4 linked regions of the Saccharomyces cerevisiae S288C genome follow. Changing the gene in region 1 together with any one later gene gives a genetic interaction. Each region holds a gene or a part of one and is shown on either strand. Other genes may lie near its edges. The genes, in order: FAR11, TOR2, INO2 and SND2.

Evidence for each region.
Region 2: mutations in FAR11 (region 1) and TOR2 together harm fitness less than expected from each alone (positive genetic interaction), as found in Saccharomyces cerevisiae (3 studies listed by BioGRID, with this or other methods).
Region 3: mutations in FAR11 (region 1) and INO2 together harm fitness more than expected from each alone (negative genetic interaction), as found in Saccharomyces cerevisiae (2 studies listed by BioGRID).
Region 4: mutations in FAR11 (region 1) and SND2 together harm fitness more than expected from each alone (negative genetic interaction), as found in Saccharomyces cerevisiae (2 studies listed by BioGRID).

The regions. Positions count from the first base shown.
Region 1 is NC_001146.8:381,134-389,931, forward strand, and holds FAR11 (Far11p), read left to right. Parts: upstream 1-2,853; coding exon 2,854-5,715; downstream 5,716-8,798. Other genes in the region: DGR1 (Dgr1p), read right to left, coding at 112-258; NRK1 (ribosylnicotinamide kinase), read left to right, coding at 347-1,069; TEP1 (putative phosphatidylinositol-3,4,5-trisphosphate 3-phosphatase), read left to right, coding at 1,226-2,530; SPC98 (Spc98p), read left to right, coding at 6,094-8,634. UniProt on the Saccharomyces cerevisiae protein: Participates in the control of the reentry into the cell cycle following pheromone treatment.
Region 2 is NC_001143.9:55,393-66,798, forward strand, and holds TOR2 (phosphatidylinositol kinase-related protein kinase TOR2), read right to left. Parts: upstream 7,968-11,406; coding exon 543-7,967; downstream 1-542. Other genes in the region: EAP1 (Eap1p), read left to right, coding at 1-210; MNN4 (Mnn4p), read right to left, coding at 8,538-11,406. UniProt on the Saccharomyces cerevisiae protein: Phosphatidylinositol 3-kinase homolog, component of both TORC1 and TORC2. TORC1 regulates multiple cellular processes to control cell growth in response to environmental signals. Nutrient limitation and environmental stress signals cause inactivation of TORC1.
Region 3 is NC_001136.10:695,726-702,533, reverse strand, and holds INO2 (Ino2p), read left to right. Parts: upstream 1-3,065; coding exon 3,066-3,980; downstream 3,981-6,808. Other genes in the region: ECM18 (alpha/beta hydrolase family protein), read left to right, coding at 1-1,137; YDR124W (uncharacterized protein), read right to left, coding at 1,245-2,219; serine/threonine protein kinase KIN1, read right to left, coding at 4,640-6,808. UniProt on the Saccharomyces cerevisiae protein: Positive regulatory factor required for depression of the coregulated phospholipid biosynthetic enzymes. Also involved in the expression of ITR1.
Region 4 is NC_001144.5:263,856-270,417, forward strand, and holds SND2 (Snd2p), read right to left. Parts: upstream 3,064-6,562; coding exon 2,518-3,063; downstream 1-2,517. Other genes in the region: 60S ribosomal protein eL22 RPL22A, read left to right, coding at 1-93; BMT6 (25S rRNA (uracil2843-N3)-methyltransferase), read left to right, coding at 302-1,399; PER33 (Per33p), read left to right, coding at 1,601-2,422; signal peptidase complex subunit SPC3, read left to right, coding at 3,314-3,868; PET309 (Pet309p), read right to left, coding at 3,958-6,562. UniProt on the Saccharomyces cerevisiae protein: Functions in the SND pathway, a SRP (signal recognition particle) and GET (guided entry of tail-anchored proteins) independent pathway for targeting a broad range of substrate proteins to the endoplasmic reticulum.

The sequences.
Region 1 (8,798 bases):
TGCTTCACTATTCGGGCAATTCGCATTAGCACCTGAGTATATATCTGACATAAAAAGATTTCTGAAGTTATCGTCAGATAAGAAGATGGAGTCAAAATGTAAACAATAACTTTAACCTATATAAATTTTCTTACATTTGCTTTTAAATACTCGAAGATTTGCATTGAACGATCGTTGCCGTTGACTCATTTGAAACAGAAAAACAATACACGCAGGAAAGGAACGGCAGTTGGTCTGAGAAACAAAACCAACTTGCATTTTAGGCTGTTCCGATAGTTTATCAGAGTAAGGGAAAAAATAGCGTGCAAAAGCTATCGAAGTGTGAGCTAGAGTAGAACCTCAAAATATGACTTCGAAAAAAGTGATATTAGTTGCATTGAGTGGATGCTCCTCCAGTGGTAAGACGACAATTGCGAAACTTACAGCAAGTTTATTCACGAAGGCTACATTAATTCATGAAGATGACTTTTACAAACATGATAATGAAGTGCCAGTAGATGCTAAATATAACATTCAAAATTGGGATTCGCCAGAAGCTCTTGATTTTAAACTTTTCGGTAAAGAATTAGATGTGATCAAACAAACTGGTAAAATAGCCACCAAACTTATACACAATAACAACGTAGATGATCCCTTTACAAAGTTCCACATTGATAGACAAGTTTGGGACGAGTTAAAGGCTAAGTATGACTCTATTAATGACGACAAATATGAAGTTGTAATTGTAGATGGGTTTATGATTTTCAATAATACTGGAATATCAAAAAAATTTGATTTGAAGATATTAGTGCGTGCTCCCTATGAAGTACTAAAAAAAAGGAGGGCTTCCAGAAAAGGATACCAGACTTTGGATTCTTTCTGGGTGGATCCGCCGTATTATTTCGACGAATTTGTGTATGAATCTTATCGTGCAAATCATGCGCAGTTATTTGTTAATGGAGACGTAGAAGGTTTACTAGACCCAAGGAAGTCAAAGAATATAAAAGAGTTCATAAATGATGATGACACTCCAATTGCGAAACCTTTAAGCTGGGTGTGCCAAGAGATTCTAAAGCTTTGTAAGGATTAGGAAAGCGCCACAAAATCGATGAGAAGTATAAAAAAAAAAAAGTAAAAACAATAAAAATAAGAATGTGTACCTCGATAGATAACTTAAATAAGACAATTTCAGAACCACAATATTGATAACACCATCCCGATTTTTGAAATTATTTTTTTGGTGTAAATGAGAGAGGAGGGGAGTGAATTAGAAATGGAAAAAGGCTTCCTTAAATGGAAACCAGTCAACTTGATGAAGAAAATATTGTCTTTACCAATGAAAAAAACTAAAAACGATATAGGTTTGAGATTAGATATATCATATATTTTAGTTAATCTAATAGTCTGCTCATACCCGGTAAACACGTATCCAAAACTGCTTTATAGGAATAGCTTGGATGACTTAATATTGTTTCTAACAGTGTACCATGGCAAGGGAAATTTTAGAATTTTTAATTTTAGAGGTGAGAAAGAAGACAGCGATTATAAAGATAATGATCTTATTGGTATCGCTGCCAAGTTTGAGAGCAAAGATTTTGAAATTCAAGAATTACGTTCGACGCTGATTAATGATGGAAAGATACCAATATCACCCATTGATCTCGAAACAAGGACCTTGGTCGAAGAAGAAACCAATAATGTAATTTGTGAAAGGATCGGTTGGCTAGATCATTTTCCACCGCCATTTGAACTGCTGGAAGAGATTGTAGATGGTATAGAAAATTACCTGTCCGTTTCGAAGAATAGAGTGGCTGTTTTACATTGTCGAATGGGGAAAGGCCGATCTGGTATGATAACAGTAGCATACCTCATGAAATACTTGCAGTGTCCTCTTGGAGAAGCAAGATTGATATTCATGCAGGCTAGATTCAAGTATGGTATGACGAATGGCGTCACCATACCCTCTCAATTAAGATACTTAAGGTACCATGAGTTTTTTATTACCCATGAAAAAGCAGCCCAAGAAGGAATTTCTAATGAGGCGGTAAAATTCAAATTTAAATTCAGGCTTGCTAAAATGACGTTCCTCCGCCCATCAAGCTTAATCACTTCCGAGTCTGCTATTGTAACTACTAAGATTCAACACTACAACGATGATAGAAATGCCCTCCTAACCCGAAAAGTAGTATATTCAGATATCATGGCGCATGAATGCGGTGGTAATATGACCTTCATTTTTGGTAGGGACTACTTAACACTGGAAAATGATTGTCGTATAGAATTTACCCTGGGGACCAGCAAGTCCAAAGCCGCCAGTAGCATAATATCTTGGACTTCATGCGCCAGCTGTTGGCTGAATATATACCTTGAGACTTTGATGCACATAATTAAAGACGATTCTTCGCCAGATTACTTTCAAGTAGAGAGGTTAAAGAGAGACGAAATGCTTGGGACAACCATAAGCTGGCAAGAGCTGGACGGTTTTGGGGAGCTCAGCACTCACGGCTTGAAATTATTTCAGGCACTGAAATTGGAATGGGAAATTATATAGGTTTATGCATTTCGTCAAATCCATTCATTCGTTAAACTTAGTTAAAAGTGTTATATTTATTGTGAATTGGTTTGTTTTGGTAGGCTTTTTTCTATATTATGTATTCTTTTCCTTTTCTTCAATATTCTTGTATGGTACTTTAATTTACTGGCAGGTATTTTTTGGAGCGGTCAATTATATGAATCAAAACGCCATTCTAGAAACAGGAAGAAATATATGAGAACCAAGGAGTAGGTTGAAAGGCATTGTAGAGAAATTTTATTAGTATTTATAGCCGAAGAAGAAGGTTAAGTGACAAATTTTCATTTATAAGCCTCGCTAAAATGAATGCTAGTGGAAGATCTCATTCCAAAGGCCCCATTATAAGGTCTGTGTCTTTAGAAGATCTTAAGAGAAACTCTAGTTTCAAAGGCAATCTAAAGTACAAAGATGAAGTCACTTCACATAAAGAACCACAGGTCGGAACATTGAGCAACGAAGAACTGCTAAAAGATTTGGACAACATGTTGCGCGGTAAACTGAACATGGGAAGAAACAGTTTTCATGCCGATAAAAGAAATAAATCAGATGGAAATATCAGTGCCTTAACCTTCAAGGCAAGATCAGGTCTTGAGGGAGATATTCGTACCATAGATATACAGCAAGATAGTAGTGATGAAAATGATAATTTTAAGTTCAGTGATGATGGCGTTAATAAGGATAGAAATAATGAGAAAGATAATAATACTGATAACGCCGTTGAATTTCAAGACGATGCTGAAGAAGCTGAAGAGGAGAATGAGGATGAATCATTTGCTAATGTAGATGAACTGGATGGCTTTGATTTGAATAAGGTTTCTGATGGCAAGCATGTTCCTATCAATGAAAAGGGCGAAGTTGATTATAATATGCCGGTAGATAAAGAATTTCAGAAATCACTTGACCAGTGCGCAGCTTCACTTGAGGAAAGATCAAGTGCACCTTATGCTTTACAAAGAGCAGTGGACTGGGAATTGAAGATGTTTTATTCTTTGGAAGATGAACTGTCGGAATGGTTTTGCAGCTCTGATTATATGCATTTTGGACAGACACAGACTCTGTTTAAACAGAAAATTACGCAACCACAATTATTCTTTGATGATGAAAACTATGCTGCGAGCGTAGTTGAATGTTTAATTGAAGACATCCCCAATTCTTTAGCATCTAATTTACTCGCATTATCATATATTTCTATGGGATGCTTTGCGTTTACGAATAGCAAAAGTGAGCATACAAAGATTATACGACGCAACAATTTAATGCTTGTTCCTCATATTCAAGAAATTGTTCATGCCTTCAAGAAGATTGCAATAAGTTGTAGGGATGACAACAGAAATTTAAAGAAACAAACAATTTTGCTATTTCATTCGTCAACAATCCTATACTTCATATGCAGTATTTGTATAGAAGGTAGAGGAGAAAATCCGGAAGCAGTAAATGTTGTTATCGACGCTTTTGAGAAAACAGATTTGTTGGAATTTTTAACAAAGTATATTGAAAATTGGAGGTGGAATAGCAGATTAGCTATGCGCATAAGAAATATGATTTCTTTGCTCTTCAAGCTTATTGTATTACAATTTGGTGACAGTTCTGTCTACAAACAGACCAAATCATCTATTTATAATCTCCATGGCTTAACATATCCATCAAAGCATCCAGAAAAGCTTTCTATCTCCCCATTACATTATCAAGCATTCAGGGAGGACATTACTTCCCGTTTTCCTGATTACAATATGCCCAGTTCTGGCTTACCTAAAGATGTTGACAAATCAGAATCTCTTTCCCAGTTTCTGGAAATTCCTCGTCCAAAATCAAAGAATCCTCTAAATATGGCGCTCATTGTTCCTGAAAAACATATTGCTACACCTGCTCCTTCACCGCCAAGCTCTCCACAATTAATGCATTTAGGTGAAGGTCCTAGACCTCGTAAATCTTTCCAAACAAACATGGCATATCCGTGTTTGTATCCATCTGATAATGAAGGATCTGAAGATGACACTCTGGAAGATAGGATAGATTTAAATATAGAGAGAAAACCTGATAACGATATAGTTATTCCATTCAGTACCGAAGAGGCAGCGAGAATATTAAGCGAGAGTTTAGAAATTAAGCTGAGTACAAAACAACTTTGGTACGAAAGGGACTTATTCATGATAACTGAACGTGGTTGGAAACAGCAATTAGAAAATGAGCCATATGATTATGCCGCGCTTAATCATGATGCAAACTCTTCAAAAGAGGAAAAAAGTGCGATTTGCATTATGCAGCGAATTGACAAATATTATAAGAGCTGCCTTTCGAGCTTTAACTCTCTTGTTTTTGTCTTACTGCAAACAATGGAATCAAGCTTGACAAATAACTTTCATAGGAAAAGTGAAGTCTCCGATAAAAATCTTCTAAATATGCTGACACCCCAATTGGAGATCGTGAGAGCTAAGGAATTGTCCCTAAAGTCAGCAGCGGGCATATTACATGCGTTATTGAAGTGGTTTAAGTTAAGCCATATTTTGAAATTTGAACACTTGGCGGTAGTTATTCACGATTCGCGATACATCAACACATGCGCATCTATTTTAAGCAAATATTCTGAGGTTTATCCAGAGAGGGTTTTCAATAAATATGTACAAACCCCGAATTCATTTTGGAAGGAGTGTTCTCTCTCTAACGAGTCTTATCGTGAATCCTATTCAGTAGATGACTCAGGAGAGGTCGACACGGAGATTATGCCTTCGTTTGCATATCTGTTAAGAATCTTGAGAAAAGTCACAGGGAATAAAACACAAAGGTTAAAGGAGCTGCCCCTCTCCATCGGCATTCTATTTAAACGCTATTATCGGCTCTTCAACCTTGACATGTATCATCCAATATTGAAAATAACAAGAGAACTCACACCATTCAAAAACAAGAGGTGGAAATCCGAGCATATGGAATTGATATCGGGGGTTTACCTTTATGAAAAGCTGGAGTTAACTGATAATTGGGTAACAGGGAAGGATATATCAGGAGAGTTGAGCGATGCTTGTGGTCAAGAAATTGCACTCCGGGCCTTGCTTCAATTTTACAATTTTCAACACTATGAAATATCTATGGAGGACCTTGGATATGGACACCGTAATAGTTCCAGCCAAGATCTGTTAAACAAGGAATCCGAGTATTTGAATATTTAAATCTCTACTTACGGATACCGAGGCTCGGGGCGCGATGTTATTGTCATTAACAATCTCCTATCCCTCCCTATGTTTATATAGTTTTCAATGGAGGAGCATGAAAACCCCTTAAATAGTGTTTATTTGATCGCGCAATGGTGATGATTGGATCTTCATATCACAAGTGGGATACTAGGACAACCGTTGTTGGATTTCTATTATCATAATATATACGGGTAACGATTTTTGATGCGTCGCGTTTGTAAACAAAACTAAACAAAACAAACAAATATACTCATTTGATGGCTTCATCTGCATATAAGAAATAGAAGAGCCAGAATACTAAGCATAACCATAATATATATTACAGTCTATTTCAGTTGTAGCTGAAAAATCAATATGGAACTAGAGCCCACTCTTTTTGGTATAATAGAGGCATTGGCTCCTCAATTATTGTCGCAGAGTCATTTGCAGACATTTGTATCTGATGTAGTCAATTTACTGCGATCATCCACCAAATCGGCAACTCAATTAGGCCCTTTAATTGATTTTTACAAATTACAATCACTAGATTCGCCTGAAACAACAATTATGTGGCATAAAATTGAGAAATTTCTCGATGCTTTATTTGGAATCCAGAACACCGATGATATGGTAAAGTACCTCTCTGTCTTTCAATCTTTGCTTCCATCAAATTACAGAGCAAAAATTGTCCAAAAATCATCTGGGCTCAATATGGAGAACCTTGCTAACCATGAACATTTACTTAGCCCAGTGCGGGCTCCAAGTATATATACAGAAGCTTCATTTGAAAACATGGACCGATTTTCTGAAAGAAGGTCCATGGTATCTTCGCCTAATCGTTACGTTCCCTCTTCAACCTACAGTTCTGTTACTTTGAGACAGTTGTCAAATCCTTATTATGTGAACACTATACCCGAGGAAGATATCCTAAAATACGTATCATATACATTATTAGCTACGACATCGGCACTATTTCCGTTTGATCATGAGCAAATACAAATTCCGTCTAAGATACCCAATTTTGAGAGTGGACTTTTACATTTAATATTTGAAGCGGGTTTATTATATCAAAGTTTGGGTTATAAAGTGGAGAAGTTTAGGATGTTGAATATATCTCCAATGAAAAAAGCATTGATTATAGAAATTTCAGAAGAATTACAAAACTACACAGCATTTGTGAACAATCTGGTCTCTTCAGGGACAGTAGTGTCATTGAAATCGTTATATCGTGAAATATATGAAAATATAATAAGGCTTCGAATATACTGTAGGTTTACAGAACACCTTGAAGAATTGAGCGGAGATACATTCTTGATTGAATTAAATATTTTCAAATCCCACGGAGATCTTACTATAAGAAAAATAGCAACGAATTTGTTTAATTCAATGATTTCTCTTTATTATGAGTATTTAATGAATTGGTTGACTAAAGGTCTACTCCGAGCTACTTATGGAGAATTCTTCATTGCTGAAAACACTGATACAAATGGTACAGACGATGATTTTATTTACCACATTCCTATAGAGTTCAACCAAGAAAGAGTTCCGGCCTTCATACCGAAAGAGTTGGCATATAAAATATTCATGATCGGCAAATCGTATATCTTCCTAGAAAAGTACTGTAAAGAGGTTCAATGGACAAACGAATTTTCTAAAAAGTATCATGTCCTGTACCAGAGCAATTCTTATCGGGGAATATCAACGAACTTTTTTGAAATTATAAATGATCAATATTCTGAAATTGTTAATCATACTAATCAAATTCTAAATCAGAAGTTTCATTACAGAGACGTGGTATTTGCGTTAAAGAATATTCTTCTCATGGGTAAATCTGATTTTATGGATGCTCTTATAGAAAAGGCCAATGATATTCTCGCGACACCATCGGATTCATTGCCAAATTATAAGTTAACAAGGGTTTTACAGGAAGCCGTGCAGCTTTCTTCCTTAAGACATTTAATGAATAGTCCCCGTAATAGTTCTGTCATTAATGGATTGGATGCGAGGGTACTCGATCTTGGACATGGATCCGTGGGTTGGGATGTTTTTACTTTAGATTACATCCTCTACCCCCCTTTGAGTTTAGTATTAAACGTAAATCGTCCTTTTGGCAGGAAAGAGTATCTACGAATTTTCAATTTTTTATGGAGATTTAAAAAGAACAATTATTTCTATCAAAAGGAAATGTTGAAGAGTAATGATATAATCAGATCATTCAAGAAAATCAGAGGTTACAACCCGCTCATCCGTGATATTATCAATAAACTTTCTAGAATCAGTATACTTAGAACTCAATTCCAGCAATTCAACTCGAAGATGGAATCTTATTATTTGAACTGCATTATAGAGGAAAATTTTAAAGAAATGACCCGGAAACTGCAACGCACAGAGAATAAAAGCCAAAACCAATTCGACTTAATTAGATTAAATAATGGCACCATAGAATTAAATGGGATTTTAACCCCAAAAGCTGAAGTACTAACAAAGTCTTCAAGCAGTAAACCCCAAAAACACGCAATCGAAAAGACGCTGAATATTGATGAATTAGAAAGTGTACATAACACGTTCTTGACGAATATTCTTTCTCATAAGCTTTTTGCAACTAACACAAGTGAAATAAGCGTTGGTGATTATTCTGGGCAACCATACCCAACTTCATTGGTTTTACTTTTAAATTCGGTTTACGAGTTCGTCAAAGTTTATTGTAATTTGAACGACATTGGATACGAAATCTTCATTAAAATGAATCTCAATGATCACGAAGCATCTAACGGATTATTGGGAAAATTTAATACGAATTTAAAGGAAATTGTTAGCCAGTATAAAAATTTTAAAGACAGACTGTATATTTTTAGGGCAGATTTAAAGAACGATGGCGATGAAGAGCTTTTCTTATTGAGCAAATCGCTCCGTTAAGAAATGATCCCGTCCCGTTTTTCATTTATAATAAATTTCCTCCACGCAGGTTTAATGTATAAGTTGTAATGGTAGCAAATGATTTACAGATTTATTTGCAAGTAAAGAGACTCTTTTTTCGTTTTGTTTTTCCTGGATCCGCAACACAAAGTGTATTACATATG
Region 2 (11,406 bases), on another chromosome or scaffold:
ATCCCACCAAATGGTATGTTACCGGTAACAGGACAACAGCCACAGCCACCTTATCCAAATATGATGCTACAAGGAAATTTCCCCCCTAATTTCCAGCAAGGTTTTGGTAGTAACTCCCCTATGCCAATTCCATCTATTATTAATGCCAATGGCAAAAATGTTACAAACCAGTTACCACCAGGATTAAACTCTAAAAAGAATATAAAATGAGATGCGTAACGAGCGAGTACTTGACAGGAAACGACAAAAACACAGTGAACATACTATCTAAAAGCATGTTCTTTTCCTTTTCATTTTTCATCTTTATTATCTAGAGTTTGTATATAACATGTATCCTATATTATCTTATCCTATCATCATCACTTAACTTGTTATAATTCTCCCATATACTTATGTTTTCGCCTTTGATATTTACTAGTCGAAGGAACTTTTTTCGCAGTTAGTAACGTCACGCTCGGAACTAAACATTAATGAATGAGATGCATTTTTATACAACACTTTTACAGGCTATATACAACTAAGTGATTTTCAATACATTAAAACTACCAGAATGGACACCAACCGATATAATGTTGGCATAGGTTTTCCACTGATGTGGCTTGTTGGATTAGTTTATCCACTTGTTCTGGAACGTCCAAGTCATTAAACCTTCTTATATCGTTCCCCGTTAATTTGTCAGTAATGCGCTTCAATACCAACATGGCCCTTGCATTTCGAATGGCATTCTTGTGCTCGTTTTCCACCCTTTGAACTTCTTCTTCGGTAATAGCCCCATTACTCAATAGCTCATTGGCATTCATCACGGGAAGTTGAATGCCCGTTTCTTCCTCAATTTTCTTTGTTGGTAAGTCAAAACCCCAATTGATCAAAGGATCGAAAGCAAAAGCTTCAAGGATTGCCATTAATGAACCCTTGTTATCTCTAAGTACCTTCATAACATTCTCACAAGTAATACGGAAGCTACCTTCAATTCCACTCACTTCCATTGCATATGTTAACATTCTAGTTAATCTAAAAGGTACTTTTTCGGGGAATTTTTCTCTTAATATAGCAGCCTCGAAACAATCACCAAAATCAATATGAATGACTTTCCCAGTGATTCTATCCAACATCAAATTACTAGGGTGGCGGTCACCTAACCCCAATATATAACCGGTCATGGACATCACGGCTAGCGATCGAGTGTAAGTAGTTCTACGCTCCAACCACGTTTCCGATGACCTACTCTTCAGCCATAACACCTTATAAAGATCTTGTCCCTCCGTATTATTTAGGGCGTAAGTGAAGACTTCTACTTTCTGCAACAACGTTAAATTGTCATAATCAGGTGCCATTTGTAACATGACCCAATGCTCAATGTTTAAAGGAATTTTTTTGGCTTCTCTATGCTCCCTAATTAATACATGGAACGTGTCACTATTCGGTACCCAACCCAGTAACCCAGACTTCGGAGATAATGGGATTGCTGGATATTGCTGGATATCTAGATGCCTTCTAAAGCACTCAGCGTCATTTTGCAAAAGCGTGTTAACTAGTCCGAATAATTGCATGACCAAGCTATCCTGTCTAATGTCTTCATGTCCTTTCAACACATACTTATAATCTTTACCATCACTACCCTTGATACAAAACTTTCTCGGTCTTTGTTTGGATGAGATTACTGAAAATACTGGCTCGAATTTAGATATTTTAACAATTGGTTTTCCACCACTTGCACGGGTCCCGGGGACAGCCAATTCCAAATCATGCGCAGATAGTAGTTTTGGCGACACATGTTGTAGTTCAAGAGTTTGTAATTGTGGCAACTGTTTACCAATTTTCCTGAAAACATTATAGTAAATGTCCCACGCTTGGTTTAAATTACTAACATCTTTAGATTTTTTGTAATTCATCAGCCATTCGTAAGCGTCATTCAAGTCCCTACCAAAAGAATTTTGGAACGATATTTCCCTCAAAGTTTCCGGTCCTCTCTTCAGCATTTCGTACAGAGGCTCTAAAGCAGCAAACATTTTTTCGGTATTATGTTCTCCAAAAAACTGCCTACTGGCGTCATCCAGACCCTCATACCATTGCTCATGCCAAAGCACCGCCATACGTATCAATTCGTGGCTGACAAGTTCAGCCTGGTCGACCAAAACTGGACTATGTATTCTCATCTTTTCTATGATGGACAAAGCTGCTTTCTGTCGTGAGAGAGATTCGGATTTAATCGCAACCATTAAGGGGTACACTAATGCCTGCGGATGAGCCTTACCTAGATCAGATAATAGGGAGAGTAATGACCTACTAACAATTTGATTGGGTTGATGAATTCTAGAAATTAACTGTGGCAACACTTCTAACCATGTGCCTATTTGGATTAGGTTGAAACCCTCGTGCATAGCTTGGGTTGCTTCTGGAATACCACCAAAAGTAAACCATAAAGTTAATAACCTTAATGCATCTTGAAGAGAGCTTGATTCTGATAAAGAAATGGAATGAAAAAAACCCTTAATTGCTGGAATTACGTGCCTGTGTATTAAATTAGAAGAGTAATGAACTTCCTTAGCATCAAATGTATTGACGCCGATCATGCCATTATCAAACTCATTAATATCAGTTACCGAGGAAGCATCACTTCCTTCCTGTTTCTTTTTAGAGACAGATGTTAGCATAGAAATGACTTCAAAATTGGCCAGTGCCCAGTTATGCCACGCTTTGTACCATGTGTTGTCAAAATGTGTAGCGAGCAAATAGGAGCCTAGGATCGAATCTGGATTGCTCAATCTCCATTTAGGCTGTAAGCAAACTCTCCATTCTCCTTGCTTCAAGAAACAACGAGCTAAAAGCTTAGTATAATCTTCAACGTGACGAGGGACTCTTTTGCTTTGTTGAGGAACGCTTTGAGCTATCATATTATTTGGATCCAAACCTAAATCATGAGCCATTCTAGATGTGAAATTAATTAATTGCTTCAAAGCCTCATCTTGCAACCCCGTAGCCCACAAGTACTTCAGTTGTGCATAAACAACTGGAGGGGATGCCTTAGCAGTATTAGGATGATCTGGGTCATCTGTTTCTTCAAGCAATGTATTTAAGACTTTTTTAGCTAGCGCCATCCTACCCGATTTTCTGCATAAGTTGGCAAACTTAATCCTCACTTGAGCATCCTCCTTTGGCTTTATCACCAATGATCTGACACGCAGAATTCTTTGCCACACATCAATATTTTTTTGACAGCCCAGTAATCTGGTATTCCAAGTTTCTCTCATAGTTAGACGTTTATCTGAATTTTGTGGCAACTTCTTATATTTGATGATTTCCTCCAACTCTGCTATAATCTGCGCTCTAACAACAACATTATATGCTCTATTGTAGCTTTCATTAACAAGAGCTGACAATTCAGTAACTAGAAGATCCCTTGCATTAAAGATGTGAACTTCCGCCTTCTTAAAATTATTCCTATGCAAACATAAAATTGCATCATAGAATTCTTTATCTGGAGACTGCGATTTCATGACGCTAGTATACTGGGCTATTTCATCCCATTGCTCCAAACCCCAGGCAGCGCCGGCAGCCAAAGGCGCCATTGCCTTCTTCACTTCGGGTTTTGCCGTGCCCCACTTTTCAGATGCCAATTTAGAAAGCTCTTCCCACTCTCCAAGGGCATATAACGATCTTAATTTTCCCATCATCACTTCAACCGAATCTTCTCCTGCTGCCTCCTTCTCATTATATGCTGCAAGAGCATCCTCCCAACGTTGAAGTTTTTCATACCAAGTTTCCTTCAGCTGCAATTCATTGTGTTGTTGCGCATGCTTCAAAATACCAATAGCAGAATCAGTTTGGTGAAGTTGATTATTAATGCTAATCAATGCCTCGATTGTTGAATTTTTCGGCTCTTCTAAGAATTCTACCTCTTTGTAATGTAGTGCCTTCGCAAAAGCATGACATTTTTGGGCATACTTACCTAATGTATGGATTGGGATAGGCAATGGTTTGTCATCGTGCTCCATAAATTCCACTAAATTTAACAACATTTGATAAATCTCGGGTGGGTTTTCAGAGGATGATAAAGCCTTGCATAATGCTTGAATCAAATCCTCTTGGTATGACGTTTGAAGCTCAACCCAGCAACTTGAGAATGAAGCATTAAACAATTCTCTCGCCAACGGATAATAAACGCTGACTAAACTCGAACAGGATCGTAGACAAGCTGAAGGTGATTCCTTTAGAAGCTGAATAGATAGCCTTCTTATCCATTCTTGCCAATCTTCTTTGGTCTTCTGTTGAGAACAATACCATGCATTCTTTAGGATATTTTGGTTTACCGGTAATTTCGTTACTTGCATTTCGTCTTCATAATTTTTCCTTTCAGGTACTTCGTTCTCCTTGTCAAATATGATATTTGTTGGCAAGCATTCATTGTTCAGTAATTTATTAACCAGTTGATCGTACACTGAATGCTGAATCCTATTCCTCAATAACGCCTTGTTAATCACTGGCACAAAGACCACAAAGTCGGTACCTAGTTGTAAAAGGAGCAAACTTAGCGTATTCATGGTTGCTTTTGTTAGTTCTCTATCCCCATTATTCAAAATTCTTACCAACGCCTGAACAATTCTTGATGACATTTCAGAGAGGTTGATATTCTTTGCTAATCTACCCAAAGTTATAATGGAGATTTTCTTTAGACTTCCAGCAGAATACTCAGTCATTCTAACAACGATAGGCATAATCAAATGGGAATAGTCTTCTAGATTCGGCCCAAAAGTAACCAAAGATTTTAATATACGAATCGGAACGATCCTTTTATTAGACTGGTCGTTCTCAAGAATATCAAGGAAAAAGGTTAGAGTCTCGGGAACAAATCTTTTAAACTCACCTTCCAGAGCCTTAGATATCGATTCTATGACAGAAATAATTGTGATTTGTAGTTTAATGATCGGGAAAAACTCCCTGATCACACCATAAATTTTCTCGACATGGGGCCTAATATGTTGCTTGACAATTGAGATGAGAGATCCCAGTTGCTGAAAATAAAAGTCAAGTTGGGACGGCGGGCATGAACGCATGACTAAAATGATACCTGGAATAATTTGATCCAAAAAGGAGACACATCGTAAACCAAGGTTTTGAAAAATATGCATAATAGCTTGAATAGCAGCCGTGTGATGGATTGACAACGATGGATCATTCAATATCTTCATCAGATTGTGGATAACTACAGTGGGGTAATATTCATCGTTGGATGGAGATACCCCTTGCATTAGCAATGCGATGTCGATTGAAGGAGCATTTTGCTCTACTGAACTCTTTGAGTTTGATGTGACTTCTATTTCTCTGTGCTTATATGGATCAAGAGCGCCTAATATACCAATCAAACGAACAGTTCCACGCCTGATATGAGGGTTGTTTTCAGTCTTAAGAATATTTATCAAAATGCCAAGTAACTCTGGGTAGTCTAGTAAAGGGCCAACAACATAACCAGAGGAAGCAGCCAGCTGTCCTAATGTTGTTAAGGCGGCATCTCTTTTAAAAGAGTTTGATTGGTCCTGAAATGTGTTAATGATCAATGGCATCAATTCCTTTAAGTAACGCGTCATTTCTTTTCCTCCAACAACAGATAGTTCACCCAAAACCTTTAAAGCGGTGGATGCTACGGCAGATGAAGCATCCTGGCATTTAGGAAGAATGACGTCTAGAATAGGATCAATATAAGGTTTCGCTACTTCATCGCTGGAATTTATCAGCGTACATAATAGAGTTGCACTTTCCTCCTTTTTTTTTGGCATATTTGAGAACTTCAATTGCGTTAATAGTTCCAGTAAAGTTTTCCTCAAAGAAGGAACTACATAAGCGGGGTTGACAGAACTCAATCTGCCTATTATTTTGATAGCTTCCAATTGAATACCAAAAATCTCATCGTTCAGCGCCATGAAAAGTAGGCGTAAATTGTCTGGTTGGGCCAATTGAGGATCAAAATTTGACCCCAAATGCTGAAGAATTTCCAATCTAATTTCTGCAACCGGATCAGTTATTGCGATCATTAATAGCTTACTTAGCACTTCAGAAACCGAGTGTAAAGCATGAACTGATGTTTGTTTACATATATCGTCTTTGATAAATAAATCACACGACGTTAATGCTGCCAATTTTCTGACAGACGAATCCTCATGCTCAATGTAAGAAATGGTTATAAGCCTAACAAACTCCGTCAAGGAATATTGATGATGAATTAGTTGCAGCATTTTAAAACACTGAATCAAAATTTGGGCATCTGTAATATCGTCATTAGATTCACCAGTTTTTTTCATGAAACTTTGGTTTCTTGATTTACGAGCCTTTTCAATGGAAAATTGATTATTAAAATCGTATTGGTTTGATTGAATAAATTTTTCACCAGATAAGGATATCGACAGTAAATTTAGTATCCTCGAATTAACGGTAGATTCCAAAGAGGGTATTTTCTCGTTAAGGATCATTAAAGTCTCCTGCATATGGTCGGACATTGGACAGTTTAACATCAAATTAAGAAGATCTTTGTTCAAGTGCTTAGCAAAAGCTGGGCCCAAAGCACAAGCTAATTTACCAATGCAATAAAATAAATCCTTCTCGAATTGTTTTCTAACTTTGAATTTCGTTCTTAAGCCTTCCCTAATATTATCCAGAATAAGTGTCATATAGGGTGAAATGCTCGAACCAACTTCAAATGCAATATCACCTATAGAAACTAATATAAAAGGTTTATCCGAATTATTTGCAGCATTCATATCGATGTTCTTCAAATATCTTAAATAATGAACCATTATCCTATCGAGATATTTCTTTGTGAAAATGGCAGGGTCAAAAGCAGCTAAAAGAGGTAAAATAGCATAAACTTCTCTCCTTATAACATCAAATTTATATTCCTTGTACTTCATAGTAGATTTGTAAATATCATCATATTTATCCCTGAGATAAGGTGCTTTCAAGCTGAGTAATTCTCGAAATACCAACAGAGTAGCATGCACTGAATCATTCGTATTGAGACTTAAGCCATGTGTACAACCTTGAAATAATCTTTGAAACCACTGTTTTCCCAAAGCAGGGTCTCTATCCTGAATAATAGTAAGACATTTACCCAATGCCACTGCGGCATCTAATCGTATAATTAACTTTGCATCCCTTAATGGCACCCAAATATTGTCTAAGATAGAGTTAACGTAAGGGTATAAAAGATAGGGTGAATTGTCTGCTAATGCCTTTATGATTAATAGCGCAGCATGTCTCCTGTATTCCAACTTAGAGCTCGATGAGTTATTATCTGCTGTCAGAGTAAGCCAATCAATGCAAGTTCTGACCTCAAATTCGACGAAATCTGATGTTAATGTACCACCTGGCACGGTCAATCTACCTAAGGTGTTAGCCGCTAATCTCATAACTTCAATGTCACTGGATGGAATTAAAACACGTAAATAGTTCGCCAGTCTTGAAGTTTGGTTTGGCAGCTCCTCTGTACTCAGGTAGAATGAGATCAGAGTATCAACAGCAAGAATACCACCTATCTTCTCACTTGAAGTAAACCCGTGAATAAGTTCAAATATCTTATTGTTTAAACTGTTGCTAAACCTTTGAAATTGCTCAGCAGATACTTCCCTTGCTAATGAGGTCAAAGTAGTGCTTAATTCATTAGCGCCAGAGGCTCGTTCTTGTGGCACATCGCTTTTAAGTTTATCAAAAATCAAATTTAAAGTAGAAAATGTTGTATCTAGTTCTGAATCTACAAAGGATATTTTACCAATATGACCAGCAGAACCAGTGATCACTCTACCAGAGTCATTGGGCCCATTGTGATTGGAATCTGTGTTTGAAGTAGTTGACATCTCATCATCGTGGGAGTGCGATTTGTGTGTAAGTTTCTTTCTTGTTCTGTGTTTGCCTTCGGCCCTTTGTCGTAAAGACAATAAGTTAGGTGGCGTGGTGTATTTGTTAATGTATTTATTCATTTTTCATATGGGGAAAGTAAAGATCAGAAATCTCTTTGAGAAAGATAACTATTTGATCTTAATGACTATGCTCTTTATGCACCCGGTATATTTTCCCTTTCTACTGCTCCTAATCTACCTGTAAATAAATACAAGTAAAGCTCAGTTAAGGAAGTGATTGGTGTCACGATGATAAAAATTGGTCTTTCCTACTGTCATTACATTTCTTCCAATTTTAATTGCTGCCATATATGTCAGTCTCTATTCAAACATATTCAGTGCTTAAAAAGGAATATCCGGGTAAATATTCTGACATCGCCCAAGAAATATACGATATAACTTAAAGAAAAGAGTTGTAGTAAGCTAATAGCATTAAGATTAAATGTATGTTTGATTAATTGCAATATCATGATGTTATAGAGTAACGTGGTATAATTACCACGATTCCGTCGAATTGTTTGCCACTTATCACTGGCGCCAAAATGCAGCAGTATGTAAAAAATGACGGTAATAAATATATAATACAAATGCATAGAGGAAAGGCTATAGAAATGAAGAGATTCATGAATTTTCAGTCAGGTTCTCCGACTTTTAATTGCTGTGCCCCTCCTCCTGCTTCTTTTTTTCCTCTTCTTCGTTCTTCTTCTTTTCTTCCTCTTCCTGCTTCTTCTTTTCTTCATCTTCATTCTTCTTGTTTTTCTCTTCCTGCTTCTTTTTTTCCTCTTCTTCGTTCTTCTTCTTTTCTTCATCTTCATTCTTCTTATTTTCTTCATCTTCATTCTTCATCTTTTCTCCTTCTTCCTGCTTCTTCTTCTCTTCTTCTTCCTTCTTCTTTTTCTCCTCTTCCTCCTGCTTCTTCTTTTCTTCTTCTTCCTTCTTTTTCTTCTCTTCTTCTTCCTTCTTTTTCTTCTCTTCCTCTTCCTTCTTTTTCTTTTCTTCTTCTTCCTTCTTCTTCTTTTCCTCTTCTTCCTTCTTCTTCTTCTCCTCTTCCTCCTTCTTCTTCTTCTCCCTCCGCTTTCTTTCTTCAAGTAACTTGGCATAAGCATAGTCCTCGTATACAATAATAGGGTCCTTATCAAACATTTGAATACCCTTTCTGTTAACGTCGGATAAAGTTGGCGCAAAAAGGTCTAAACCATATGAATTTAAATCCAAAAAGGAGTTGCTACTAAAGTTTAAATTTGATTTAAAATCCACAGGATTTACTTCAACAGTATTAGCAGGAGTATAATCTTCTGTGTTATCATCTAGAGTTGTTCCAGTTTCATCAAAAGTAATGTTGAAAAGTGAAAAATTCCTGTATTTCAAACTTTCGGACAGATCAATAATTTTTCCGACATATTCTTCATGAACAATCTTGGTAACTTGATCTAATGTAGTCTGGTTCATAGATTTTGATAAATCCTTCCACATAGCTTTTTCATAACCAAAAAGAAATGGGTCCTTTGCAGGGGAGCTTAACTTAGGAGCAACATTAATGCGCAATTGATGTAATAATTTCTTTTTTTCAATAAATGTCAGGTTTTGGCAGTATTGAATTTCCAATTCCTTTTGCCTATATGCAGTGACATTGAAGGAATTGTACAAGTTAGTAAATACCTCGATAAAGCCAGCTTTTGGAATATTTTTATAAATTAAGCGAACATCATCCATGGATAGGTTTTTGAAAGAGTATTCAGAGACTTTGTTGGAATCAAAAAGTTTCGACTCAAATTTCGTAGACGATATTTCTTTCAAGAGGTTCGGATTCCATGAATTAATACTGGGGATGTTTGGATACCATGAATTAATATTACTGCATTTCTTTAACCCGTCATAGTCGAACCAAAATCTAAATTCGGGCAAATAAGCAGTATTTTTGTAAGCATCAAATGCATATCTATCAGGTACATGATATTCATTGTGCAAGCAGTAGGTATGTCTGTGAGGAATCAACGCTGGCACACCATGGAAAACAGTATTGATTAAGGGAGATAGTTCCTCGAACGAGTTAAAATGGTTGTTTCTACAATTGTAAAGTTTAAGTTTTTCGTTGAGAAAATATCTTTGTTTAGGATTCAACTTGTTTTCAATGGTCTTAGACTTTGGTAACTCTTCCAGTTCCTTTTTCAAAAGATCTTTCAAATCAGTATCAGTGGGGACTCTTTTATGATTTTTATTTTCGTCGCTGGTAATGTAATCACGTAGCTCAGTGATGTTTAGTGTAGCCATATTGACTAACCCATCATCTACTTTGTCGGGCAAAGTAGCGGTCTCACCGTTCGATTCAGGGATATTATTGATATCCAAATGTTCCTCTTGCAACCGCTCTTCAATATAAGAATTCAAGTAATCCCTACTAGGGGCAGAAGTGCTAGCTAGACCGGTAATATCAATGTAAAGGCCGGTGTCGACGTCAATGAATCTTGCATCGATATTGTTTTTACCGTTACCGTTAATTCTTACTGTCAAGGAGTCGCTGACGTCTAGGAAATAACGTCCATTACCCTGTCTTGGGTCTTCCAATATAAGAGATTGGTTGAAGTATTGACTGAGCAATTGTAAATGCTTAATGGGCATTTGCAAGTCGAAATCGTTATCCCAAGGGAAAGCCATTCCATTGTAAAGATAGCCGTACAGCGTTCCGTGAGACAACCAAGATATGATGCCGTTGGCTTTAGTAAACTTTTGGAATGTTCTGATCATTGAGTTCAATCTAGCCTGGTATTCTTGTTTATCATTGATTAATGTATCAACATTGAAGAACCTCTTGTCACGATGGAACCCCATACCTTTATATTGCTTCACGGCACCAGCCTCATAGAAGAACTTTCTTTGCAATGCAGGGCTTGTCTTTACGGAATTCTTCAAACTGTTCAGATAATTCTCATTATGAGCGGAAAATTTGTCCGGATAGAGTTTCTTCTGTTCCTCTAACTCTTCAATTTTTTTGGAGGCATCGAACTTGAAATCCGAAGGGGATAAATAAACCAAATCTTTATCAAAAGTGAATTTATCAGTTTCTTCAATTTCCAGTTTGTATAGGGAGTTAACTTGGTCGTTATTGACGAATTCCTGGAAAAGCCTGTTATGGTTGAATTCTACGTCCTGTTTATTTTTCTTTCTCTTGTTCGTAGAATTAATGTTATCATTAATATATTCCTGCAACAGGCCGGATTGCACCAAGTTTTTTGATTTTTCAGTTTGCAAGGGGACTTGATACGTGGAATTATCTGATTCGATGATGGAAATGGATAGTGGATGCGACTGTGTAGTCAAAATGTAGTTTCTTGCCTGCAATTGGTAAACTTCGGGTCTAACTTTATCATACAGCTCCTTTATTTGAAATTGCGTATTAAATCTTAAACCCTTAGGAGAGCCATGCCCGTCTGGAGTGAATAGCTTGGAACAATGCTTTTTTAGTTCCTTTGAGTCTTTGATTCTGTCCTGGTTTCTAGCGGCCTTGTACCACAGTTTCTGC
Region 3 (6,808 bases), on another chromosome or scaffold:
TTGAATAACCCACACAAAACTTATATGCGGCTGGAGGAATTACAGAGACGTATTATGGAAGAGGTACACGTTGAAGGTATTAAAAAGAATGATAAGTTATTCAACGAAATAAATCAATGGCATTTCCAAAATGAAAACACAAGTACTGTTCGAACACCAACATTGCTGATACATGGCTATGCCGCATCTTCAATGTCTTTTTTCAGAAATTATCCAGGTCTGTCCAAGCACATCCGAAATTTATACTCAATTGACATGCCAGCGAGCGGATTGTCTTCAGTACCGTCTTTAGAGATCAATACAACAACACCTCTGCCGTTAGATATCAAATTTATTGGAGAAAATAAATTTAAGGTTCCATATACAATAAATGCAAATCACAATAAATTTGTGATTCAAATGTACGAAGATTTCTATCTCGACAGAATCGAGCAATGGCGCATTGATAACAAATTGGGCAAAATGAATGTTGTGGGGCATTCTTTTGGCGGATATTTATCTTTTAAATATGCTGTTAAATATCCAAACTCGGTAAACAAACTTTGCTTGGTATCCCCACTAGGAGTGGAAAGGAATATCTGGTCTGTAAATAATAATTTCCACTCCAACACTCTTTATACTATCGATTTTAAAAATCCAAATTCCAAGTTTTACTCCAAAAGAAATATGATTCCAAAATACTTATTTGAACAACAATTTCACATTTTGAGAATGATGGGACCATTAGGAGCTAAGTTATGTTGGAATTACATAATGGCGGCATATAGCCGAGTCCCATCGTTGGCATACAAAGAGTACATATTTGAACTGTTTTACGGTAAGGGAGGTATACCGGAGGTTACGACAGATATTTTCAAAGCGTTATTTTCAAGATGTATCCTAGCAAAGGACCCCTTGATGGATTCTCTGCAATATTTAAATGTTAAGAAATTATTGATAGTATATGGGCAATATGATTGGATGAATAAAAAAGCCGGTATGTTCATGGTCAAAGAGTTGAACAATTTAAAGAACTGTCTAGAAGGAGCAAGTTATTTAGAAATACCTTCTTCCGGTCACAATCTTTTTTTAGATAACCCAGAATCATTCAACCAATCTATAGTGTCCTTCTTATCAGACGAAACTAAATCGCCTTGATAGCAACCAAATCAAGTAGCAAAGAGCCAAAAAATGTGTTAATGTATGCTATCCCCCTTTTTGCTTTTGCGCTCCTCACACCTCTTTTCTTTGCTTTGAAATTTTTCTCAAATAAAATCTTTACAATCATCGCTACTAGTTAATTCATCCAATTTAGTGAGGAATAACGGATCAAATTCCACTAAATTTTCTAATCGAGATATGCTATTCGAATAATCCTCCGATACAGGGTCTTTCGGATATTCCCTGGGGAAATACTCTGTGTCACTTTCTTTTGAAGGAAGGATCATCGAGGGTGAAGAATCGCTTCCACTTGACTGTTGTAACAAATCTTTTTCTACCTTAACCATTTTATTTACATCAAATCGACGACTATGGTATGATTTTTTCTGTTTTTGGGCTAGGTCATTTAAATCATCAAGTGATATGGTCTTCTGCTTGAAATCTTTGTTGCACAAGCATTTCGCAATTTCGAAAACATTTTTCATGATTACTTTCTTCACAGTTTCTTTCTTAAAAATGGTCATTGCGGCGGTCACTCCTGTAAGCTCGTCCAAAATCTCAAGGCTGAAGGGAGATTGCGGTAGAACATTCATAATTATCGTGCACATCAATTTCAGTCGATCCGCTTTCTGGAGGTGGTCCGGCTCTTTATGTTCTACATCTTTTGGCCACCATTCCGGCCTTCCAGCATTGCCTTTAATGTATGGAAACCTGGTTTTCTTCCTTGGCTCAATAATTTTTATCCACAACTTAGCAATCGCCTTGCATGGGACCTGTCTTAATAATTTAAAAGCCGTATACAGATAATTCTGTATTAGTAGGGGTTGATCTAAGGGTAGCATGATCGCTGGTTGGATATTTTCTTCATAAACAGTTATTCTTTTCCTATTTACCAATGGATCGAACGTGAGTGGAGGGTTTTTTTCAATTGAAGATGATATAAAACTCTCTGAGAACAAGTTTTTTGGAATTGACTCACTTATTAAATGGTCTTTTTCCTTTATGAACACCATAAACTCATATCCTTGACCATTTAGCAGCGCCAGCGCCCTTCTAAGCTCTTCCATACCTATACGCATGTACTTAAGCTGACTCTATCGAAAAATGACGTACGCACAAATGCACATGTATACATACGCAATCCATCCTTTATATAAGCTGAGAAACAAGCAGAGGAACCTGCTTCAGTTGGGCCATCCCTTCGATGCTATATACTTCTAATCTTAAACTCTTCACTAAGACTTCGCAGGCACCGCTTCAAGGATGTCTCAGGTCGCGAGATTACTACAACAACTTAAAACAACCCTGATGCAACTGCAGCGTGCTGTTTTTCAACAGTACAAGAAAAAGTTCCATATTGTGCCATTGCCGATGCCATTGCAAAGGAATTTGTTCTCAGTCGCATCTCTCCTTTACTGCAGATCTGAGTTACTTTGAATCCTTGATAATATGGATCGAGTGCCTCTTCCATTATTTCTATTATTATAATCTCAACGCTTAATATGAATTAACCAACCACACTCAAACCAAATCTACGCCAGCTACAAATGGTAGGAGAATGAAGACACACCAGGACTCAAACAGGATTTCCCAACAATGTCTTTCAACATGCTGCTTGCCGGTCACTACTGCACTTCCTGCGCCTTTTCCGTTGAATCACCCTCCATAGTGCGGCAGATGGAACCAACCTAACCTTTTTTCAGCAGGAGGTAAAAAATTCGCCGGTTTTCTATCTCCCTCCGTCATCGGCAGGGCGTTGACACCTGTCCAAGTACAACACACATGTGAATTTTTTTCAGTGATTAAAGGCTCATCTCATCATATCTTATTGTAATCAGTATTTGGCGTCATAAGCAATTCGAAATTGGTTCGGTTCCATCTCGTTGACGTGCAATAAATAAATACATGGAACAGCAAAGGAGAAAATGCAACAAGCAACTGGGAACGAATTACTGGGTATCCTAGATCTGGATAACGATATAGACTTTGAAACTGCTTACCAAATGCTCAGCAGTAACTTCGACGACCAAATGTCTGCGCACATACATGAAAACACGTTTAGTGCAACTTCCCCTCCTCTGTTAACACACGAGCTCGGCATAATTCCTAACGTAGCAACCGTGCAACCCTCTCACGTAGAAACTATACCTGCCGATAACCAAACTCATCATGCTCCTTTGCATACTCATGCACACTATCTAAATCACAACCCTCATCAACCAAGCATGGGTTTTGATCAAGCGCTTGGTCTCAAGTTGTCTCCTTCCAGTTCGGGGTTGTTGAGCACGAATGAATCGAATGCCATTGAACAGTTTTTAGACAATCTAATATCACAGGATATGATGTCTTCCAACGCTTCCATGAACTCCGAATCACATCTACATATAAGATCACCAAAAAAGCAGCATAGGTATACCGAATTAAATCAAAGATATCCTGAAACACATCCACACAGTAACACAGGGGAGTTACCCACAAACACAGCAGATGTGCCAACTGAGTTCACCACGAGGGAAGGACCTCATCAGCCTATCGGCAATGACCACTACAACCCGCCACCGTTTTCAGTACCTGAGATACGAATCCCAGACTCTGATATTCCAGCCAATATCGAGGACGACCCTGTGAAGGTACGGAAATGGAAACACGTTCAAATGGAGAAGATACGAAGAATAAACACCAAAGAAGCCTTTGAAAGGCTCATTAAATCAGTAAGGACCCCACCGAAGGAAAACGGGAAAAGAATTCCCAAGCATATTCTTTTAACTTGTGTAATGAACGATATCAAGTCCATTAGAAGCGCAAATGAAGCACTACAGCACATACTGGATGATTCCTGAGCTCATACAAGCTATTAGTGATGAAAATGGCCTCCCGTTGGATGTATTTTTAGTTAATTTCGTATACATGGGCGAAAATATCATATGATTGCAAAGCTGGTCATGTAAATATATTCATTATAAACCAGACGGTAGAAAATCTCGTTTCTTTCCAGAGTGTAGCGTAGATTTTTGCGGACAAGAATTACCAGTATCTTCATTTTATTTAGAAGTTAAGAGAATCCGGAGGCAATGATGGTGAAGTAAAGAAATCTTTCAACGGCGAAGTATAATCTGTCTTCACAAACAGAATAACTGCGTACAAACTCGCAGTTATATGACCGTTACGAGTTGTATTGATTCAGTGAAGTAATAGTCCTATTACATCCATATGAATCCTGTCCTGGTAAACGGTGCAATGATCGCTCTACGTATACAAATTCTCTCCATCAATCGATGATGAACTGCTTTACACATAAAGTACGTGCCATTTATTTATAAATAATACCAATTAAGGGACGAAAATATTAACTGCTGAGTGTCTGCTTAGGTCCATTCTATTTCTTCTTTCCAAAAGAGAATAAAAAGAATCTATATATATATATAAATTTCTATCGAACGGATATTCTTGTTTTCGAATATCAAAAATGTAAGCTGTGGTTTCTCAGGGAACGTGTTACTTACAACTTTAGTTCTTTTAATATACTAGAAGCCAGCTCTTTATACAACCAAGTGTTCCCAGAAATTTTCTTAAAATGCACACCGGCTAAACCAACAATACGAACCTTGACGATATGAATTTCGAATTTGATGGGCTCTTTTTCTGTTGTAGTCATGCCTTCGCTACCGTCACCTTGTTGGTGGATGTTCTCCAAAGATGTTCCCGAATGCTTATCATCTCCATAGGTTTCGGTAATAGATGTTTTTCTCTGGTGAATGGAATTAGTTGTCAAAGGAGAAGAAGGTGAGTATTTATTAGAGCCTTGACGTCTAATGGATTCGTGGTGCGAAAGTGGCATGATCGATCTTGGAGTCCCTTCTCTCTTCGCTGCCACATTATTGGAAGAGAACCTTTGCATACAAACAAAACCACCCTTAACCTCCTTGAACTCTATATTCATTTTCCTCAGAACAAACATAATCTTGTATCTAACAATTGGCAAAGGCTTCGATGAAGTTGTCTGAACAGAAAAGAAACCCTTCAAAAATAAAGAACGGGGGAAATCGATGGATGGCATAGAACCGGCTGGAGCTCTAGAAGCTTCCTGCAATATCTCTTCATCTGTTAATTCCTTCTCCACAGATGGCGAGTTTATGTGTGCGTTCACAGAATGCACGCTGACGCTATCATTCGTCTGTGAAGTAACATTTCCCAAACTATCGGATTTGTTATCGTCACTTGATTCTAAGAACCCAGTATCTATAAGCTCTTGCTGAGGATAGGCAGATGAAGGCATTGGGGGTCTCATATATTTGAGTGATTCACGACGAGCATGACCAACTGATTTAGCTCTTGCGCTTGGATGTAGTTTTCGACCTTTTGCAACATTGAGAGGTGGTAAGGGATGATTCTCGTCGTCGTCGCTTCCTTCAAACTTCTGTGCAGCGTAAGCTTCCCGCCCGCTTCCTTTTGCAACTTCATTATTCTGTTTATTAATATCATGCAATTTCATTATATCTTCTTCAATTTGCTTCTCCCTTTGCTTCTCTACCATATTTTCTGCATCCGCAGGCAATGCTGGAAAGTCACCTTTATTGCCACCTCTGCTATCGTTTGTCTTGACAGGCTCATTCATGGTATAATTTGAATCATAACTCGGTTTAGCAAAACCAGGGACAAAGTCTGAAACAGCGCGAGAATGCGTCTTTTGCACAGGTTTATTGATACTATTATTACTATTAACAGATGTCTGTTCAATGGTCTTTTTACGGCGCTGTGATAATTTTCTAAATATATTCCCAAACTTCGCCTTTTCTGAGGGATCGCCAGTAGTTGAAGGTACCCTAAATTGTTGATAGTCATTTCCCTGAGGAGTTGGAGAGAGAGCATATTCCATTTCACGGCGTTGATTATCAGAACTTTTTCTACTCGTTGGTGACGTATGCGCTTGTTCTGGCATTGCTAACCTCGGTGGAATTAAGACATGTAAGGGGGGCTCTGTGCCATCGCTATTCTTTGGAGTGAATGGCACAGAGGTATCTTTTGTCGCCAACGTGGCTTCTGGCTCTGATTTCATAGCGGTTGTATTGACCTCTACGTCCCTTTGCTTCACACTTTCCGGTATTTCAGAAAGCTTTTCTATATTTTCGTGGCTCTGTCGCTGTTGTTGATTCCGAATTTTCGCATGTTTCCTATCAAGCATCTCAGAAGTCAAGTAATATATGGAAATCATTGGATGATATGCCCGAGTTGGGTCTTCAAAACTCTCTGTTATGTTTGGCGCGTTTCCGTTATCACTGGATTCTGCGTTCATTTTGGCCGCTAAAGTCCAGTATTGTCTAGAGAGAAGAACGTAAGTAGGATCTGTGATTATACTGACCAAAACACTTCTTGTTTCCTCTACATCGTCAATAAATTCTAAACGGTACATTTCTTTTAAGACATTTATATCAAGCATTTCGATAGTTAGGGGAACTCTTTTCGGTAAGTAAGAAGGAGGGGGACCATTGAACCCTCTTACCATCCAGTGGTGCTCCACAACCTGTTTAAGTGTGGCTCTTCTTTTCGGATCTACTACCAACATTTTGGATAACAGTGATATTACTTCGATAGATAAATGTTGGGGATATTCAACCTTACCTTGCTTGATCTTTTCATGTAAAACGCTCGAATTTTCGTCGTCAAATGG
Region 4 (6,562 bases), on another chromosome or scaffold:
TGGATCAGATTTGTCTCTACCAAGACCAACGAATACAGATTGGCCTTCTACCAAGTCACTCCAGAAGAAGACGAAGAAGAAGACGAAGAATAAATTCATTAATATTATTTTAAATAGAGCATAAGTTTTGTATAATTAAAATCTTCTAAACCTAATAAATATGTTTAATGAATGATTCAATATCAAAAAAAGAAATCCATTGGGCCCTTAGTGCATTTTTATTTTTTTTTTTTTTTTTTTTTTTTTTCTCTTTCTGAATTAGAGTACATCTCATCGCAGGGTCTCTTTTTGCACGTTTTTGATGTTGCTTATGAGACGCTTTGCCTTTTTAACTTCTTCAGTATATTTTAAATATATACCAATTTATTCACAATATCATTACTCTTCTCAGTTTCCAATTAACATGAATCCTAAAAAAGTGGCCCAATTGCCCGTTCACAATAAATCAACGCTTCCACCACAGGAAATAATCGATCTTTTTAAAATAACATTCTTAGAAGAGCTATATCCAAAAGATCAAGACAATGAAAAGTCACCGTTAACTGAACAAATACAGGCGGTAAAATCTGACCTTTATAACAGAGATTACAATGCTGCTTTCAATAACGACTCGAAAAGAATAGCATATTGTTGTCGTTGGTCACCGTCCAGAGCAACAAGTTACGCATCAGTATTTGCACATTTCCCTGAGCTTCTAAAGATTATCAGATGCGAAATTGATGACAAGGACTCAAATGTGCTCTGCATAGGTGGCGGCGCTGGTGGTGAGCTGGTTGCATTAGCGAGCATATTCACTTTATCGAGAGATTTTTCGTCTAAATTTGCCTCTGCTTTGAAAATAGACAACGAAGTAAACAAAAAGCCTAGAAATTTAAACATACAACTAGTAGATATCGCCGACTGGTCCACAGTTGTTGAAAAGCTAACAGCTACAATAAAGTCGAAATGGCTATATGGTGATTCAGAAGCAGAGTCATTTAACGTCAACTTTACCCACAAGGACTGCCTACAAATGACAGAGCCACAAGATATCAAGATATATCAAGGCCTCGACCTAATAACTCTACTTTTTACTACAAATGAACTATTTACACAGAAAAAAGTGGAGAGTATAAAATTTCTGCAACGGTTAAACGAGAACTGTGCCCCAGGCTGCCATCTTCTCATACTAGAGAGTGCAGGAAGCTATTCTCACATTACCATCAACAACAAGAAGTTCCCAATCCAATTTCTTATCGATACTATCTTAGTAGGCAATAGAAAGGACAAGGGAACGACAGGTCCATGGTCACTAGTATCCGAGAACGACAGTATTTGGTATAGAATGGACCCAAAACTCGACTACTCGATTCCATTGGAAAACATGCGATTCTTTTACCGTCTTTATGTCAAGAACTAACAGGCTTTATGACGTTTTACTGTTCTCTTTTCATTGTTCTTTTCTCGAAGAGTTTAGAAAAATTTTTTTTCTTCTCATCCACACCGAAAAAATATTAATAAGAGAGTTGAAAATTCGATTTGGAATCAGAAATAAAGAAGGGGCCACGATCAAACAAGACTCATTTCGAATAATTGTAAAAAAAAATTAGCACAAAACAATATGACCGTTCCCAGGAATCGTCCCATGGCACCATTTGGCACCATTATCAAATCAAGAATAAAACAACCCCAGTTTTATTGGTTTATAGGCCATTTTTTAACCATCTTTAACTTTATACAATTTCATCTTTCAATCACGTCCAAACAAAACCAATTGTCATGCTATAGAAGATCATTATTTTACATATCCGTTACATATGCCATCGTTCTTTACCAGTTTTTCAAAAGTGACCAGTTAAAGTTCAATTTTACGCTTTTGCGCCAAGAGATGAAGAAATTGGATAATTTGCAGTATTTTGCCATGCTATTCATACTTTTTCTCTTATCACAGTTTAACATCATAATCAGCGGCTCGTTATACAGTCCCGTTATCTTTTCAATCTTTCACTTCCTGAACTATTTTAAGGAAAACCTTTTGCCATTTTTGCCTTTGATACCACTTAATTTGAAAAATTTGTTGAACTCCAAAATAACGGTATTCATCCAAAACTACAATGGATTTTTCTTACAGATGGCGCAAGTATTTGAGATTATCTGCGGCCTACGTGTGGGCCTCTTCTTAGTGCCCTTCAATTTTTTCTTGTTGTTGGTAAGAAGAGCAAACGTGTCGTTTGAGGTAGTGGGTACAATGTTGGCAGGACTAACCTATGTATGGTTTTTCAAATTAAGGTACCTACAAAGTGAATCTATGAGGCAGATATTTAAACAATATGTCCTTAGGTTGGATGCATATGTCAGCCGTACTTTGCCCCCATATTGTTCCCGTTTATGGAACGGCTATAAGAATTTCGTTATGACAGTGTTTTGGAAGATACCTGTGTAGCATGCTCATTTTAAGTATATCTAAATATTATTTTGTATATACTCACACTCCTCTATAGAAAGCAAAAAATTTCAAAAACGTTTGAAAAGCTTTGTTTAACGATACTTGTACTTAATTTTAGAGTCAGTTTCACCCCTCCTCTCCCTTTTCATCTGCCTTTTGGATTTGGATTGTCCCTCATTAGCATTTTTTGAGCGATTATCTGCCTGAGTTTGTTGAGCGCCAGGCATGAACATGTTTTTGAGGCCATATAACTTGTAACCAGCATAGATGGGGCACAATAGTAGACACCACCAAAATTTGAATGTCCTGAAAGCTATAATACCAATGTTACCAAAAAGTGATAGATATATCAAATCAAAAAAATATGATATCAAATTTGTATTGTCGTTCAAGTCTATACCTTGTTTTACTACGCGATTGCCATCATATTTGGGCTTACCGGATAGCACAATGATATACAGAGCAACGAACATAGGAACGTTCAAAGCCACCAGCTTAATCCATTGGCCAATTGTAACCTTACGTGAAATGAATAGACGTACGATAGCCATTCCTAAAAACAAAGAGACTTGCTTGTATAAGCCCTGAATTATTTTTGCATTTGAACTAGCCTGTTTCCTCCCTGCTTTGCCAGCCATTCTACCAACACAAACTTAGACCACTGCCTTTGGTGTCTTCTTGAAGCCACACGTGAATACTACCTTTTTTTCATCTATTATCTTTTTTTAATTACGTTGAAATTTTTCATTTCAAAGGCGCAGAACGAAGGTCGACTAATTTCATGACAGTCGGTAGACGTGGAGAAAAAAGTTGATTGTTAAGCCTATTAAGTTCCACTGAGACAAAGACCCACAAAGCTAGCTAGCATTGCCGCACTTCTCCAGAACAATGTTCTCCTTTGTCCAAAGATTCCAGAATGTATCGAACCAGGCCTTTTCAATGGGAATTGTAATGGTTGTATTCATCATGGCATCCTCATACTATCAATTAATCAATAATAACGCGTTCTCAGTACCTAGTAATATCGATAACGTCAAAACTTTAATAAATGTTAGAACAAGTAGATATTTTGGCTCACAGAGAGGCAAGGCAAAGGAAAATATGAAAATTAAATTTGATCTAAATACAGATCTCACTCCCCTATTCAATTGGAATACAAAGCAAGTTTTTGTCTATCTAACTGCTGAGTATAACAGTACTGAAAAAATAACAAGTGAGGTAACATTTTGGGATAAGATCATAAAAAGCAAGGATGATGCTGTGATTGATGTGAACGATCTAAGATCCAAGTATTCTATCTGGGATATTGAAGATGGAAAATTCGAAGGCAAGGATTTGGTTTTCAAGTTACACTGGAATGTTCAACCATGGGTAGGTTTGCTAACTTACGGTGAAACTGTAGGCAACTATACACTGACCGTGGAAAATAAAAACAAAGTTTAGACTAGTCTTTGCTCTCTCAATTTTTGTTAATTATTTACATGATTTTTTGATATATATGCAGTTGATTATACAATATGATATATGCATTTCTAGAATTTACTCACAGGTAATACTCTCTTAGATTTCCTCAGTTCTTTAAAATATGAAAGATGTCTCATTTCAATCTGTTCCCATTTATTGATCTTGCTTCTTGGCATTAATAAGTAATCTTTCATAAAATACTTGTAATTTGATATGAAGTCACGTACCTGATCTTCTAAAGTTTTTAAATCATCAATACCGTCCAAATATGTGTCTAACTGCCTCATTATACTGTTATATGTATCGCTTTTTAAGTATAGTCTGGGCTGAAATTTATTGGGCTCTTTTTCCTTCATTTTTAATGTTGGCCAAGATTTATCACTGGACTGCGTCTTATCCTCGGATAGTTTCGTTAATAGTCTAAATTTATGGATCAAATTATACCCATGAATTAGTGTGTCATCAACGATTTTCATACCATACGAAAGGGTTCTTGGATCCTTAAATAACGCTTCTACAGCGCTGTTCCACGATATATTATCTAAAATAAAACCTTTTTCTCGCAATTTCTTCCACAGTAATGGCAGCTCATCGATTTTATTCATTGCAATCAACTGACTTACTTTATAAGGGAACAATCCGCTGAATATGCTTCTTAGTTTAATATTTGGCGTTGTAGATGATGGCAAGTTTTCAATGTTTTCAATACGATCCATGTATTTAGCGAAAAGTGTTTCGAAATCTTTCCATTGTTCAATTTGAGCTAGTAATACCAACAATGATCTCATCATCACAAATTTATTATTATTTGATATCCAATCATGCTTTTTGAAGAAAAGCTCATTGTACCGGTTGTATAACTCTAAAGCCCGCTGTGGGCTATCATGTTTCACAATCATTCTCATTGGCCATGCCATGACCGAGGGATGCAGTTTGTTATACGTAACGTCGAGAGTTCCATTGGCAGCATTTTCCATGATGTCTTCTACCATATTAATCGTTTCCTTGATTTCCTCATTATTTTGTAGGCTTTTTTTGGCAACGGCCTTCAATATATAATATAAAATTTTGGAATTCGCTGGTACCTTATTCTGTGACATTGTCTTGTACAAGTTAATTATACCGTCACGATAACCCTCTTTGTCATATGCCTCCATTATTATTTCAAAATGTGTAGCGTCCACCTTGATTACAGAATGTTTTATTAGTTGATCTATGATGCTCAATGCCGTTTCGCAATCTTCGTTCAGTGTAACTAAAAATTTTATCATCATCTTGTAAAATTCACTGTTTACAGCCAGTTTTGAGGTTGTGATCTTGTCGAAAAGTTCTTCACACTTGTTGGCATTTCGTAAACCAATATAAGCTTTGATGGCTTTGTTATACACTGAAATTAGACCATCTCTCCAAGATAAATTCTTTGAATGTTTTTCAAATAATGCTATTGCCTCTGTTGGCCTGTTACTCTCAATATATACATCCATCAATGCAGAGATACTTTTTCCAGTGTGTTGGATATTATAATGTTCAGTCATAAGGTTGAATAATTCTTGAGCGATTAAATGGTTCGTAGTTTTGCAACACATTTGTATCAATAAAGCAAAGTGCCCCTCCGTGATTTCCACGCTAGGATCCTCGCTTAGTCTTTTTAATATCCTAAACGCACCATCAAGGTCATTTAAACCACGATACACTTTAAGCATTATGGTATGCGTTGCTGTTGAAGGCGTTATGTCGTATTTCTTGAATAGTTCGAAGTGGCTAAAACAGGCTGCGAAATCTCCGACTTTATAATGTGCATATAGTAAAGATTGTAAAACAGCGTATGTCGGTATCATACCTCTCCTCAATAACTGTGTATATAGTTTATTGACACTATCCAATTCACCAATTCTGGCCATAGTATACATCAAAATACCATAATGTTGTATGGAAGGTAGCTTACCGATACCGAAAAGAGCATTGAACTGTTGTTGTAAGGCGTCCCAATTATGCAGCCTAGAATGAGCCACCAAAAGATAATCAAATTGGTTTTGGTCGTGCTGAGCATCAGGGTATTTCCAATATGTTGACGAAACCAAATTAAACTTCTGCATGTGACAATACGTCTTTAGAATACACGTCAGGTCAGAACTCACTATCGGCAGGTTATGTTCGCACTTGTAATTCCAAACTGCTTCTGCAGAAGAAAATTTCCTAATATAAGTTAATAAGAACAACAACGTAGTTGCAAATTGAGACGCTATTGCGGGCCCTTGCGTTAGCTGAATTGCTTTCAAATAAGATAAATAATCGGGGCGAACATTTGATTGCCTCATGAATGATAAAAAGTTTCTCAAAACTATCTTGTTCTCCATATAATTCGTAAATTCACAATGTCCATTCACTAGTTTCATCCATTTGACCCATTTATATACAGCTTCTTCATGCATATTCATTATAACCATCCTAGAGAAAATCGAGTTAATGAGGTCTATCACCATTGTCTTTTGTGTTAATAGAAACCGTTGTATGATATCAGAGATTGCCTGATCTAATTGAATACCTCTTTGTAAAATCAATAAAGAGAGAAGGAACTTTTTCAATTCAGGTAATGAGGCATCCTGTTTTAACAATCTTTGTGAACCAATAGTGGTATAAAGAAACTTCTGTGCAATTTTTATAACGTTCCCA